2 linked regions of the Arabidopsis thaliana genome follow. Changing the gene in region 1 together with any one later gene gives a genetic interaction. Each region holds a gene or a part of one and is shown on either strand. Other genes may lie near its edges.

What was found.
Region 2: changes in ATS1 (region 1) and AT1G27695 impair growth when combined (synthetic growth defect), as found in Arabidopsis thaliana (one study listed by BioGRID).

Annotation. Positions count from the first base shown.
Region 1 is NC_003070.9:11,598,246-11,606,865, forward strand, and holds ATS1 (phospholipid/glycerol acyltransferase family protein), read right to left. Parts: upstream 6,930-8,620; 5' UTR 6,757-6,929; coding exon 6,441-6,756; intron 6,047-6,440; coding exon 5,949-6,046; intron 5,828-5,948; coding exon 5,741-5,827; intron 5,644-5,740; coding exon 5,546-5,643; intron 5,393-5,545; coding exon 5,335-5,392; intron 5,232-5,334; coding exon 5,130-5,231; intron 5,058-5,129; coding exon 4,996-5,057; intron 4,899-4,995; coding exon 4,788-4,898; intron 4,686-4,787; coding exon 4,607-4,685; intron 4,532-4,606; coding exon 4,412-4,531; intron 4,317-4,411; coding exon 4,203-4,316; intron 4,113-4,202; coding exon 3,978-4,112; 3' UTR 3,426-3,977; downstream 1-3,425. Other genes in the region: ATDAD1 (Defender against death (DAD family) protein), read right to left, coding at 7,802-7,885, 8,468-8,511, 8,601-8,620. UniProt on the Arabidopsis thaliana protein: Esterifies acyl-group from acyl-ACP to the sn-1 position of glycerol-3-phosphate. The enzyme from chilling-resistant plants discriminates against non-fluid palmitic acid and selects oleic acid whereas the enzyme from sensitive plants accepts both fatty acids.
Region 2 is NC_003070.9:9,636,283-9,642,603, forward strand, and holds AT1G27695 (glycine-rich protein), read left to right. Parts: upstream 1-2,741; 5' UTR 2,742-2,840; intron 2,841-2,864; exon of another isoform or gene 2,865-2,925; 5' UTR 2,926-2,931; coding exon 2,932-2,971; intron 2,972-3,046; coding exon 3,047-3,091; intron 3,092-3,418; coding exon 3,419-3,451; intron 3,452-3,562; coding exon 3,563-3,720; 3' UTR 3,721-3,922; downstream 3,923-6,321. Other genes in the region: AT1G27690 (lipase, putative (DUF620)), read left to right, coding at 399-800, 1,043-1,393, 1,477-2,025; AT1G27700 (Syntaxin/t-SNARE family protein), read right to left, coding at 4,112-4,137, 4,237-4,423, 4,518-5,006, 5,083-5,197, 5,394-5,470; AT1G27710 (Glycine-rich protein family), read left to right, coding at 6,268-6,321.

The DNA of each region.
Region 1 (8,620 bases):
TGGTTATATCAAAGTAGTGATAAGTGCAATTTCTTTGGAAAAGTTGTGATCGATACTAAAATAATATTTCAAGGAACACCAAAAAGTCCGACAAGTCACCAAGCTACGCATTTGCGCAGATTACTCTACGGAGGCGCGTGGGAAGAAAGAAGAGCTCTCGAGCGCGTGAAATATAGATCTCGTGATGTTTAAAGATGTAGAAACAAACTCAACAAGTTATTCGATTGGAGTTTGACTTTGGCTCTAAAAGAGATCTGTATGACTCTTTGTCCGTAAGTGAGTCCCACCACCACACAAGCTTAATCAGTTTGCTTACTATTTTAGATTTTGTACAAATCTCTTCTACTTTTGTGGTCCTCTCCACTCCTGCTCTGCCACGTGCTTCACTCTGATACAAATTTATTGTATTTTAAAGTACAAAATGTTTTGTTACTTGTCTTATTTTTTTGGTTGCCTTGGCTCATAACAAGTAAAATTTAAACCATTAGGAATTTTTTTTCTCTCATGAATACGTTTGGAATTGTGGTAAAAGAACTGCAATGCCTGGTTCAAGGCCAATTTGGAAGATCATGTTGAATACCATGTCAGTAATGGAAAGACCACGCTAGGACCATCTGCGATAAGGGAAGTACCATGGTACAAATGATTTATTGGTATGTAACCACTTCATTCAGAATTATATAAATTTAATTTGGGTGATGTAATTATTTCATAAGACATTATATGTACTAACCATATTTTATGAAGTTATTCAATGGAATTTGTATAATGGTTTCAGAGTGGACATTGGACAATAAGCAAACCTTTGCACCATAATATTGTATGAGTTTAATCTCTAAAAATTTGGTTTCCTAAGTAGTGGTTGATTTACGACAGTTATAGACCGATAATACTAGGGGTTGATACCTTGCTCGCAATGTTCAATAGAGGCACTTTTTGTTTTCATATGTAAACAATTGTGTTTTCTGTTAATTATTTGGATAGGTAAAACAACATTTGCTTGTAATCGATAAAAGTGAAGTTTGGTTGAAGTAAGAAATTATATTTTAAGATGAGTAAATTTTTATGGAAAGGGTGGTAGTAAAGGCTAATCAATTTTGGCTTCATCTTTTAACAAATGTACAAAGGTAAAATTGATAATGCTCGAAGGAGAAATTTTTAGGTTTTATATGTAAAAATTTGTGCTTACTGTTACTTGCGGAGATAACAAACATTTCATAGTAACCGATAAAAAAATTTGGCTGTTGTAAATCATGTAGCAAATACATCAAGAAAAGCTAGTAAAGGTTAATCAATTTTGGCAAAATATATCAATAAATCACAAAGGTGAAATTAATAATGATAGGTAATTATTAGGGAGTTCATGAATTATAAAGATACCCGAAGGTGGAAGGCACCATTAGTAAATCCAACGCAAATTAAGTGGACAAACAATACGACTAAGAAACAAAATATTTTCACTTAATTACCGTACTATTAATCTGATCAAATCATGCTTTAGTACTGATTAGAGCCTATATCATAATTATGTTTATAACAGCCTTTACAAACAAAATTCAAAAACGGTGGCCAAGATTGTGACAGTCCTAAACTTTTGCAAATCTTTTTGGTTAATTAACCACCGAAAATACACAAAACAATCGATATTCAATGTACTAATTAATTAGCAAACAATGATACACTTGTCCAGTAAAGTGTATTTTAATGTAACTTTTCACAGAGTATTTCGTGTGTATAGATGTAAGTTCTAACTAAGGTTTCTTTTATATAAATCGTCTGTCTAGGAAGGCTTAAACGTCACTCTTCTCCTTACAACGTGGATTCCAACATCGATACATTTGTTTTCATCCAAGAAAAAATTGCGAATAACACAAACAAAAACAAACTGAATAAACTAATCGGTCGATAATCGAGCAACTAAATACTCCCAAATTAAAAACTGACAATGGACTATTATAAAAAATTAAACAAGGTCTGAGAATGTGAAACGATTCGAGAGCCACGTGAGATGAATATCGCATTGAATCAAGAAACTAATAAAAGTGTACAGATATTAAATATGAACATAAATTTAAGGGTGCATGCCCTTCGCTGGGACTCGTGCACTCACAAATTTCGACATGCCATTTGTTTGTAATTATGGTTTATCGCAAAAGACGTGAGGATAAGACAACATCTACTATTTAAAATTACATATAACAAATGTAAAATAACAAAAACCTTAAAATTCAATTTTAATGCATAATAATCCCAAACAAATAAGATCAACTTATCAAAACATAACTTTTTAAAATAGAAAAGCCTTTTTACCAAGATTAATTATCCAAATTGCAAACAGTTTATATTTTCTTTTGTCATCTAGTGAATTGTGGATTTTTTTCAAGAATTAAAAAAAAACACATTTTTCTTGAAAAAATATAAAGGAAGAACTTTTGTTTCTTGAGGTTGACACGAAAGAGGTGATGGTACTCGTGATAACTATTTGTGGATATCGAGCCGTGAAAAGTGAAAACCACAGTAACTTTTCACTTCCATCTCAAGAGTATTTGCTCCGTTGTAGTTTGAGAAACGAATAATAAGGTAATTACGATTACGAATCATAGAATGTGGCATCTATATGCAGAGAAAATAAGAAAAAGAAGAGACAGATTAGATAGTTGTTATTATTCATTGATCACACGATTCCCTTCTTTTATTTCGAACATTTATATCATTTTGATAGTACGAAAAACAGTCGTATATCACATCAACTTGAAATAAAGATAGGAATGATTAGAATGATGAGAAAAAGCTGTAATCCTAACTTTGATCACTAATTAAACACTAAAAGAAAGTGTTAATTGTTGACTTAAACAGAGTAGAAGTGAGTGGTGTTGTCGCTTTCCAAATATAATCCGTAATTACTGAGACAAATAGAACCCAAATTTGAATAATTTATTACTAATGTCGCTCATTGTCATAATGTAATAAATAGACAAATAAAATAAGATTTTTTTCTTTTTCTTTATCTTACTGCTTTAAAATAAAGCTCGAGTGATTTTGTTTCTGAAAATAAGAAAGTGAGGGGAGATAGTGGAAAGAAGAAAACAGAGAAGAGACACGTGAATACAGGGACAGAAGCTTTGAGAGATAGTAGTATGTGTCTATGTGACATAAGGATCCAAACAGGCCAGACACTCATCATCTCTGTCAACTTGCCAAGTAACACAAAAATAGTACCCACACACAAAACACTCTCTACGCGCTCTTCAAATTTAGAGATCACAACAAAATTGTTTTCAATAGTGAAATGGAATGTTTTGACCAATAACTCTTTTATTTCGTAAACACTTTTGACTAATGGTAGAATTGTTTCTCAGATTTTTTTCTGCAAAATTATAAGAGATACTGTTTGTCAATTGTCACTAATAAGGTGGTATAATTGAACAAAACCCATTTTCCGCAAAATTGTGTTACTGACTGATATATCAAAGCCTATAAAATCTATATGGAAAACTAAATTGGAATAAAATCATGAAGCATATGAGAAAGCAGAGAGAAGGAAGAGGCATAAATTGGGATTGTGAATTATTCGGCTCTATATAGTAGGAAACCTCCAAAAAAGAAAAGAATATTACATATGAAACCATATGTGAGATCTAAGAGCCTAGCAAGAGTTTGTTTTCTCTCACTATTCATATGTACACAAACCAACTTCTTCTTCTTCCTACGTTAGAAACCAACAACGTACCTGTTTTTTTTTTTCTTGTTGTTTCAAGGAGGCTTTGGAACTCGTTTGAAAAAAAAAAAAAACTCCCTAGGACAACGTGTGAATAATATCTCCATTTTTTTTTTTTTTGAGTATTTTCCATTGATTGTGTTTGTGTATCCTGCAAATGAAAGAACAATGCTCTCTCTCTCAATATATATACAGTTGCAACAAAACTTCTGAGACAGAAGATTTATGAGTTTTGAAAGTGTTACCCTAAAACGAGAGACTAATTCCAAGGTTGTGACAAAGAGACCCTTGAAGTTGATGCTTCTACTCCTCTTCTGTGTTTAATCGCAGAGTTTAAGATCTCGTATTGTTCATTCACCGACTTGTACAAAGCTTGGCTGTATGCTTCTTTCGCCTGCCATACCACAAGAATGTATTTATATGCATGATGAATTACTCGATCTTGAAACTAAAGTCATTGGTGTGCTGAGTGTTACAGACAGACCTCATTAGGGCTCTCGCAGTCTGCTGTGACGTCTGAGAAGTTGATTTCAGGAGCAATTGATAGTCCAGTACCGTGAAACCCAACTAATCTTTTCTCTCCGATTTCTTTCTCAACCTGGCAGATGCACAATGAAGTGATGATGAGAGGAAAGTCAACCAGAGTTAGCCCAAAACGGAGAAGAGAGACAGAGAGAAGAAAACAATCAATACCTGGGGTGGAGGGGGCATGATGTCATAGCAAAGCAAAGACATTGGATATATATGTCCAGGAGCGCCAGAATGTTCAACCAGTCTTCTCATGTTGTCTACCGAAGAAGCATCAAAGGGTGCCTGAACATTACTAGATTAGTACTTGCATATCTACCAGACTCAGATAAGATCTCTGTATTCCATCAAATAACTTACAGGAAACCATTCCCCAGTAGAAGGATTCGGGCGGTCCCTTCCACCGCTTGGTGCAATCCATATAAGTTGACCGCCAGACCTACAGGGTTCATCAACATTAGCAGACTAAACATCAATGTTTTCCTTTAATGTCTGTTCCTATGAGATCAAATAAGAACACTCGCTATTTAGTTCCATTAACCTTAGCATTGTAGCCATCTCCTTTAAGCTTCGTGTGTTTGCTTTTCTTTTCATGTCAACAAGCTCAGGATCATCATTCATGTGCTTTTTCGAGTAAACACATATGAGGTTCCTGAAAGCAGTAGAAATCCCGGAAGTCATACAAGGTTGCTAAGATTACACTTCAGCCCATCAGGTAGCATACCATTGCAAATGAAAGCTCGTGATACCTTCCCATACTGAACGGCTTACAAAGAGGATCAGTGATGACTCGATCACCAGCCACACATTTCTGCAACCAAAGAAACAAATAAGAACAGAGACAATAGCGTATAATAGCTCAGAACAAGGCTCGAAGGCTCACAATGTTCTCTCCTATGAAAGGAGATTGTGCTTCAAGCAATAGAGAAATGACAGCCGGATCAGCTTCACTTTGATGGTTTGATATCAACACGATATTGTGTCCCTGTAATTAAACAGTTGAGTATTAAAGTCCTGAATGGAAAGAACTTTAACTGTTGATGAAAGCAAACAGCATTAACTAGAGCACAAGAAAGAGGGAAGATGACCTGTCGAATCTTGTCTTCCAGCTCAGAGAATATAGAAGCATTTCCAACGTACGAATTTCTGCATAACATATTCAAGGGTTGTTAGTAGATGAACACTTGATGGCAAGAAGAAAACTAGAAGATCCAATGATACTAACCAAACGATATTGCTTTCTAATTACATTCAGTTATGAATAAAATCTGATAACTAAGAGTGCATATTCCAGCTTACTTGAAATCAATAAGAGGACGGATGTATGTATGGACAAACATGTAGTAGTCAAATGGTTCTCTGACTGCTTTATGATATGGATTAAAAGTATAAGGATCCTGAAATATTCACAGCGCAAGGAAGCTCAAGTAAAAGAATTTTTAGATGACATCTCCTAGTAGAAAAATCATTCCAAGAGATTGACAGAAGAAGTACCTCCACACCAAGAAGCATGCGATCAAAAGCAACAGACATGTTTGATACAACAGTTTCATCTGCCCTGGAAGCTCCACTACTTAAAACCTAAAAACCATCAGTAAGACAACAATGCAAAAGTTCAGTGGACTGATGTTCTTTAATCTAATTAATTCCAAAGCATAGCACTAATCGTACAAACTAGTGAGTGATAAAAGGATTCATTTACTGCATTTTTGTAGTTCCAATACAATTCTTCCATTCCTGCTGCAACATTTGCTGGCAACCTTCCAGCTTCAGCTTCCTTCTTGATACCAGATAAAAGATCTGACGATGGAAATGAAGATAAACACAATGTTAATACAAGCATTGTTACACATCCATCCAGAAACTCCTACTTGCACTTTTTGAAAAAGGAAATTATCTGATTGCATCCTTATGAACTGATCTTCTTAAAGAAAGCGAAAGCATATCAAGAGCAACACAACCTAAGAATTCCAAAGACGTTCTTATCCATTTAACAAGAATGGAGCAAGATCAGAAGCAAAAGGCAAGAAGTCAATTCAATGAACCTTATCCAGTCAAACAAGAAACAAACTCGAATATCGATTATGAACACAAAGGAATCGAACAATCTCCACAACTCTAAATTCCATTTCCGAATTGCTACCACAAGTCAATTCAAATTCCTCAGGAAAGAAGACGAAGAAGAGTAACTAACCTTGTTCACTTCGCGCATCCAAGAAAGTACGGGAATGACTAAGCTCACTCGGCGTCTCACCGGCGGCTTCATTGAAAGCAATGCTCGCCGCGACGGACGATTCTTTATCCTGAACAAGCTCAGACATGGCTCTCACACTAACGCCGCCGCGAGAACGAAGAGGCGGCAGAAACAGCTTCTTCGCGGTTAATCTGAAAGATACTAATCCACGAAGAGTCGACGAAGCGAGTGGATAAACCGGAACCCTAGCGGAGGAGGTTACGGTTGCAGCAGCAACGGCAACGGTTGCGGCGGAGGAGGAAAACGTGAGAGTCATTAAAGCGTGTTTGGTGATTGGACGAAGCAGAGCGTGTGGAGTGTTTATGTGTGTGTGACGGAGATCTCTTCCTTCCTTTTTATTTATCCCATGAGTCCCTCTTTTTCACGTTTTTATTTTTTATTTTTCACCAAATTAAATACTCTTTTTTTTAATAATTTAATTTAATTTCCCCTTAGTAATCTTATTTCATTGAAGAACTCATAATTATAATGATACTATGTAGTATTAATTTTAAATTTAATAAAATTAAAGAAGACTCAAGACCAAATTATAACCTCACATCTTTATTTTATTTTTTGTTAGTTGCGTCCGTACATTGTATTTGCCTTTGTGTTTGTTTGAAGAAGTAGTCATGCTTATGTGTACACATAATGAATTATCTAAATATAAATCATGTGACGTCGACAACGAAAAATCACGTAACGATTCTTAAATTATAGATTGTGGAAATAGTCGATAAATTAAAAAGTTTATGTATCTTTTTTCCCTTGGTTGCGTCAGTATTTAAATTTGTTGGAATTTAAAGAAGTCATATTTGTTCTCGTGCACGTAATGATATTTTAAAATCGTGTACAACAGTTATAAATTTTAAGATAGTTGACAAAATTTAAAAGTTAAACTGTAAAATTAGATTTACAGTTTGTCACTTCATATTCACTCGTGATATTTCACACACTGACTAGATAAGCTTCAATTATGATATCAGATTCTCTCCTTTTTTCTCATTTAAAGAGTATCGTGAGTTTGTTTGTGACATAAACGGCACAAAACTCAATTCCACCAACTTGAGGATTGGGTTTTATGACAAGTGTCAGAGTCTGAGTGGTTTATATATAGGCCGAGAGAACCGAATCGAATCAAAGGGTCCCATTAGGCCATTACTGCAGGAGACTCTGTTATTGAGTGAGAGAGACACTAATAAAAGTTTGATACTTCGACAACAACAAAAATATCTCAAACTAGAGTTTTGATTCCAAGTGACACCTAAAAACTCCAGTACATTAAAGCATGAAAGCAACTTGTAGACAGGAGAGTGAAACCTCTATCCGAGGAAGTTGATGATCACCAAATGGAGGACTAAGTTGCAGAGAACAAAATCAGCAAAAGCTCTCTCAGGTGCTAAATCCTGCAGTTTTCAAAATGATATTTCGGTTATTATACAATAGTACATTGCAGGAATCTAATGAAACTATTGGGGTGTATATAAACCCCAACTCCCAAGGGAAAATGAGATCAATGACAAGTTTCTCAGAAAATTGATTCCCATGTTCAGATTTCAGAAGTTCTTTTTTATCATCTATATGTCCAGAGCCTAGTATATTTCTTCGATGGAATCAATGTACTAACCAAGTGATTGGTCACGAGAATCTCTAACCCTCCCACATCCCCAACCTAAACCCTAAGAAATTCTAAAATGCCTAAACAGTTTCTGCCTACTTCCCTTTCAAACTCTTATCTCATACAGCTGAAAACTGACTTCAAACATAGCCACATTCCCATAAAAATCCTCCTAGTTTAGTTTTAATAGTCTTCCTCTTGCACTACACTAACAGGAACACCTTAAAAATTAGAATTGCAGTGTCACTACAGCTTAGATGCAAAAAGAGGAGGGATGAAAAACTGCCATTGTTATAACAAAAACAGCGGTATGATTACTGAAGAGAAGTAAACTTGTCATCTAATGTTTTCGGAAACATCATAGCATTACCTTGAATTCCTTGTTTTCTTTGTTCACTTGAATCCGGAGGCAAACTATAAACACAAAATAGAGAAGACTGTTAGTTTTAAACATACATTCTCAAGGTATAAGCATGTCTGTAATAAAATCCAGATAAACTTACCAGCAAGAACTGCTGTCCCG
Region 2 (6,321 bases), 2.0 Mb from region 1:
GAATGTTTTATGTCTTATAAATGGAATGTAAAACCATTTCAATAGAAAAAAATAACAAAAAAATTCTTATACCAATTTTCATAATTAAATCTTATCCCGAATCCCATTTGCCTGTAATAATGAGACTTTTAAAAGTTTTTATTCGAGAAGCAGTGATTCATAATTTCAACGATGTCGAGAAAAAAAATGTGTATAACCCTAAATAATAGCCAAAATAAGAAAAGAATAATTAAATTCCAAAAGAAATGGTTAAAAAAGCGAATTAACGAATTAAATTCGACATTTATATTTTGCAACCTTCCCTTCGACGCAAACATTTCTCTCTTTTTTCTCTAATCACCAAACCTGCGTCTTCTCTCTCACACTACTAACAACACTTCCTTCTTCTTCTTCCGACTATGGATAAGAAGCACGGCTTGTTCTCCAAGTCTAATTCCCGGCGACCACGATCCAAGAGTCCAGTCAGAAGCGTCTCTCCGATCATCATCCGTCGCCGGAAAGGCCGTTACGTCACACAACCGGACCGGCACATGTCTGAGATGCTTGCTCCGGTTATAGAAGGTCCTGATCCAGACGCTGAAGACTCCGGAAGCAGTGGTGATTACTCTAGGTTCGAGAGACGTTGGTACAATTGGATGAAATGTCAGCTTCCGGTGGCTCCGCCGTCAGTATCGTCCTCTTCGGATTTCAAACGAACGGATCTGAGGCTTCTCCTCGGTGTTCTTGGCGCACCTTTAGGTCCTGTGCACGTTAGCGCTCTGGATCTCCTTCCACACCTCAGTATCAAGAATACACCTATGGTGAGCTCTTAATTCACTGTTGTCTCCTCAAAATTAGGACAGTGTTGGGGATTTGGAGTTAATCATGTTGAATTAAGCTCTTCTGTGCCATAATCTAGCTTGAATTTAGCTGAATCTTCTTTTAGTTGCCTACTAATTACGGAGAAAGACTGCGCAATTAATTGAGATTTATCAAGTTTTATCTCTGCTTTAATGTGTTGAGGGTAAAGTCTAATGACTCTTACTAATACTTGAATTTTCAGGAGACTTCCTCTGCTCAGTACATACTTCAGCAGTATACGGCTGCATCAGGAGGTCAAAAGCTTCATAGTTCTGTGCAAAATGGATATGTTATGGGAAGAATCAGGACGATGGCTTCAGAGTTTGAGACAGGCTCAAAAGGTTCAAAGAGCAAGAATAATTCGTCAAAAGCTGTTGAGTCTGGAGGATTTGTGTTGTGGCATATGAATCCTGATATGTGGTACATGGAGCTTGTTCTTGGTGGGAGCAAGGTTCTTGCAGGTTGTGACGGGAAGCTTGTGTGGAGACACACACCATGGCTTGGACCTCATGCTGCAAAAGGACCGGTTAGACCATTACGACGTGCTCTGCAGGTTAGGCCTCTTGTCCCAAGGAAGCCTTCTCATACACTTTTCTTTGCTTGCATAACTGAATTGTTACTGTTGTCAACTTTCAGGGACTTGACCCGAGGACCACAGCGTATATGTTTGCAAATGCAAGGTGCATAGGAGAAAAAAAGATCGATGGAGAAGACTGTTTCATTCTCAAGCTATGTGCAGACCCGGCAACACTCAAAGCTAGAAGCGAAGGGGCATCAGAGACCATAAGACATACGTTGTTCGGTTACTTCAGCCAAAAAACCGGTCTGCTTGTTCACTTAGAAGACTCCCAGCTAACCCGAATCCAAAACAATGGAGGCGAAGCGGTTTACTGGGAGACGACCATCAACTCATACCTAGAAGACTACAAACCTGTCGAAGGTATCATGATAGCTCACTCTGGTAGATCCGTGGCTACGCTTTTAAGGTTTGGAGATATGTCATCAGGACATAACACTAAGACCACAATGCAAGAAGCATGGGTCATCGATGAAATCTCGTTCAATGTCCCTGGCTTGTCTATAGATTGCTTCATTCCACCTTCAGAACTCAGATTTGATTCCCACGTTGAAGACTTATCTCAAGGCCCCAAAATTAGGACATTGCACGGCCATAAAAATGGTTGATGTGAAGAAGCAGGAGATCAATGTGTATAACTCATTCAAAAACAAACCCTAGACCGGTTATTTTACTTTTGCTATTGTCGAAGCTAAAATTCTTGTAGGAAGTTTCGTTGAAGTTGTAAATAGACAGCAGGAGAAGTTCGTTCTTTTTGCCGCATAATGTTAGGAATGTGTAGTCTTAGTAAGGTCAGTCCAATTTTTAGTTTATAATATTGTTTCATATACTATGATAGAAGCTCCCATCTATTTCACCTAATAGCATATAGTATAAAGAAATATTACTTGGTCATCCATACCAATTGGAACTGATGAATACGATCTTCCTTGTATTGTATATCAATAAATTCATAGTGTGAGTGTAGTTTCTTTTGTAGCACAAACTAGTAAATGTTATTTCTCCTCCTACTGTCTATTTCAAACCGTTGCTCATTAGTTTACTCCAAAAAATGGCCATAAGTACTTATCTGTTTGTCTGTCTCAACCATCCAAATCCTATTTGTGAGTTGGATTTCAATGGGACATGAGCATTTTTGCATATGGATTGATCCATTTGCTCACTAGATCGTTTTATTTTACTGTTGACTGTTGTTGACCTTGAGAAAAAGAATTAGGCCGGTTCACTGTTGACCAAATTCTTTTACATAAAATCATTTTGAAAATAATCCCGGTTCATTAGTTAAACCGGTTCGATTAATTTGGTACGTCTCTAAAACAAATCGTCTTCACCTTTCTTCTCTTGCTTTCAGGGCTTGCGATTTTAAGTGGGGGAGGTAGAGAGAGCAATCTACCAGATTCACCGATTACCAACAACAAACAAGGTATCATCGGGTAATTCAGATTCGCAATTTCTGCTCATTTGAATTTATAGATTCCTAAATTGGTTTCTTTTTTTTTCTTGTGAAGATCACTATGGTGCTCTCTGACTTCACTGGAGTCGGTGTTGGATTTGGTAATGCCCCCATTCGCAATTGTTTTCTCCTTTTAATTTTGATTGGAATCGTAATTTAGTTATTGGAATTCATAGGGTTCGGTGTTGGTTGTGGATTTGGCGTTGGATGGGGTTTTGGAGGTTCGTTCTCAACTTCTCTCTTTTTCTGCTTTTACTTGAACAAAATCTGGACTGAATTACAAGATAATTCTATTGGAACAATTCTCTTGCTAGTTGCTATGGGATGTGCAATGCACTCTGCTGTGCTTGTTTAGTTTTGTGATCATATTGCTTAATGTCTCTTATAGAGATTATCAACTCCTACATATCATCTTTACTCAAATGCTTCTTCTTTCCTAGCTAATGGTTGCTTAAACGCATAGCTAGTATCAGTTGCGCTTACATTTTGATGGATTCATACTATTTTGCAAACCTACTGAATTGGAGATTTCCGTTGCTTTCATGCAGGAATGCCTATGAACATCTTAGGTGTTGGTGCTGGTAAGCATTTCAAACTTCTACTTCAAATATCCCACACTCGCATAGATACACACCGAGCAGGTTTTTCCTAAATTCTAATTACGTAACTTATGCGTCTGGTATTTGACAAAGGTGGCGGTTGCGGGGTGGGTTTGGGCCTCGGGTGGGGTTTCGGGACTGCGTTTGGGAGTCACTATCGTTCATCTAGACTTACATTTCAAGGCATCGAGTTAGAGACTGCCGATAAACGGGAGGAGGTGGTGGCTAACATGTCCAAAAACTCCACTTAAGCAGTCGTGTGCTTCAATACTCTGCTCGGATTGATTGTAAAAGAATTCTGACACCTTTTCTTATTTCTCAATGAAACGGTTACTTCAAATAATCCAATACGAAATGCATTTCTGTATTCTGAATTGTCATTTTTAGAAGGTTCCACTTCAATCTTGGGTTTAGTCCCAAATAATTCTACAATGGTTAATAGGATTGGTGCCTAAGAAAACAATGATTGCTCAATGAAACCCGTTTCAAATAATCGAACCAAAAAAATGCATTTCTATATTACAAACAACCAAAAACAGTTGGAATTTACTGTACAGTAAAAATGTGGATTGCCAAATTCGTCTCTTTCGCTGTTACACAGAAGATGAATGAACTCGAACCTTGCTATTCCAAACCTCTCTTCTACATTGAATGCACTGCAACTACCACTGCAATCAGAAAAAAAAACAATTTATCTCAAAACTCAAAAGTGATGCAGTAAGCTTTGCGTTCTAAACATAAATGATTCAGAGTTCAGTAAATCTTACCAATAAGAAAAACTAAAAGAATAATCCAAATTGCAGCGTGAACCGATTTACTATATCGCATTCGATACTGAGACCGTTGGAGTTGCCTCTGTAGAGCTCCATACCAACCATGAAGCTGCTTTTCATAACAGTCCTCCTCACACTCCATACAACTCTTGCCCCTCTCTGAACATCCATTCATATCTTGCTGAGAAACAAAAAAATAAAAAGCATTTCTTAGCAAAGATTTTCAAAGCAGGAGGCAAAAATCTTGCGGTTGGAGATCGATCGATCAAACTTACTTGGTTAGCTTGGATAGGTAATAAAGCAGCATCAGAGTCTCCTTGACGATCTAAACCCTTCCACTTTCTATTGCAATGCTTGGACACAGGATCCATATAATTCAAGAATCCAGAGAAGCTAGGTACTTTCCTCGGAGGTCGAACCACTGGCTCATCACAAGATTTCTTCACTAAACCATCATCAGAAACCGCAATGTTCCAAGCACTGAATTCAGCAGCACTTGCAGTCCTTCTATGTCCATTAGGATTTGCTTTAGCAGATTCAGATGGACCAGTCAAGAAGAGAGCAAGCTCATTACGATCATCTTCATCCAAACGAACCCATCTCGGTGTTCCTTTCCCATCGGATTGCGCAGCTTCCTTGAGAGATTTCTCGATTTTCGACACTTGAGCTTCCATTACGAAAGTAAACTCACGATGCCTATCTCTAGTTTCATCACTCAAACGATTGTCATAGCTAGATTTGACAGCTTTTTGGAATTCATCTAACTACACCAAAAATATTACAGGTTTCATAAATCAACATTACAGATTAAGAATCTGAGTTCTGAGGAAAGAAAGAAACCTGCCATTTGGTGGTTCCAAGAGCTGCGTGAAGATCTCTATGAAGCTGCTCAGAGTCCCATACTTTTGAAGAGTCTCGTTTCCCATTGAGCCATGTCCTGTACGCTGACTCCATCCTACACATGAATCGAAGATAACAACACACATTGTGAGATTTCAGATCTAAGACTTGATTTGATTAATCAGAAATCGTAATCCCAAATCCGAAGCAACACGAATCGAATCGTCGACATTGCATCACCAACAATGAGAGTTTATGGTATCACAGATTCAAAACGAAAATTGGGAGATGAGGATCCGAAAAACGCAAACCTGTCGGCAGATTCCTGAACTTCTTCAGCAGCGGGAAAGAAAGGATCTTTCTCCCACCGATCCAAACTCGTCGTCATCACTTGAGCAGATGAAAAAAAACAAACTAATTTCCTAATCCTTGGAAGATGAGAAGAAACCCAGAAATGGAGGAAAATGGAGAAGATGGATGGATCGAGAAAGATTTCAGAGAAGAGAGGGAACGTTCGTTCATCGATTAGCCAAATTACGGCCTTTCGTTACACACACGTGCGAAAATTAGTACTATTAATGTTTGGTTTATTCAATGTGGTTCTCAATAAACCGGTCCATAATCTCTAATTCTCTTCATTTTGGTTAACGCTTTATTTATGACAGCATAATTACCAAAAGAACTAGTAATCGAAAGTATGATTAAAGGAAAAAAATATGCCATGATCCTACTTTTGATTACTTATGACTTATCTATCAATTTTATTCATGTTATAATCATTTTATTACAGTTTCATAATTCATTGTTTCCTCTGGAACATATGTGTGATAACCAATATGTTCAAATCAGATCAATGGATTGGTACACGAGTCACTCCTTGTTTTCTTTTATTTAAGAAAAAACTTGAGACTGCAAAATGAATAATAATGAAAAAATGCAGCAAAAAGTGTGGGAAAAATCATGCGAATGAGAACCATCACCTGTTACACCTTTCTGGTGAGTCACCATATATGCACCTCTCTCTCTCTCTACTGGCACGCCCATGCCAACCATCACCGTTGTATTATGTCCCAAGATATATAAATAGTGGTGTGTGTTTGTGGCTGTGTATTATTCAAACACACAAGTCCTTTTACTTCCTTTTTCAGATTCTAAGCAAACAAATTGTGTCACTAAGCAGCCATCATGGCTAGAGTGATCTTGTGGTTTCTTGTTTCCTCGTATCTTTGTCTCATCGGT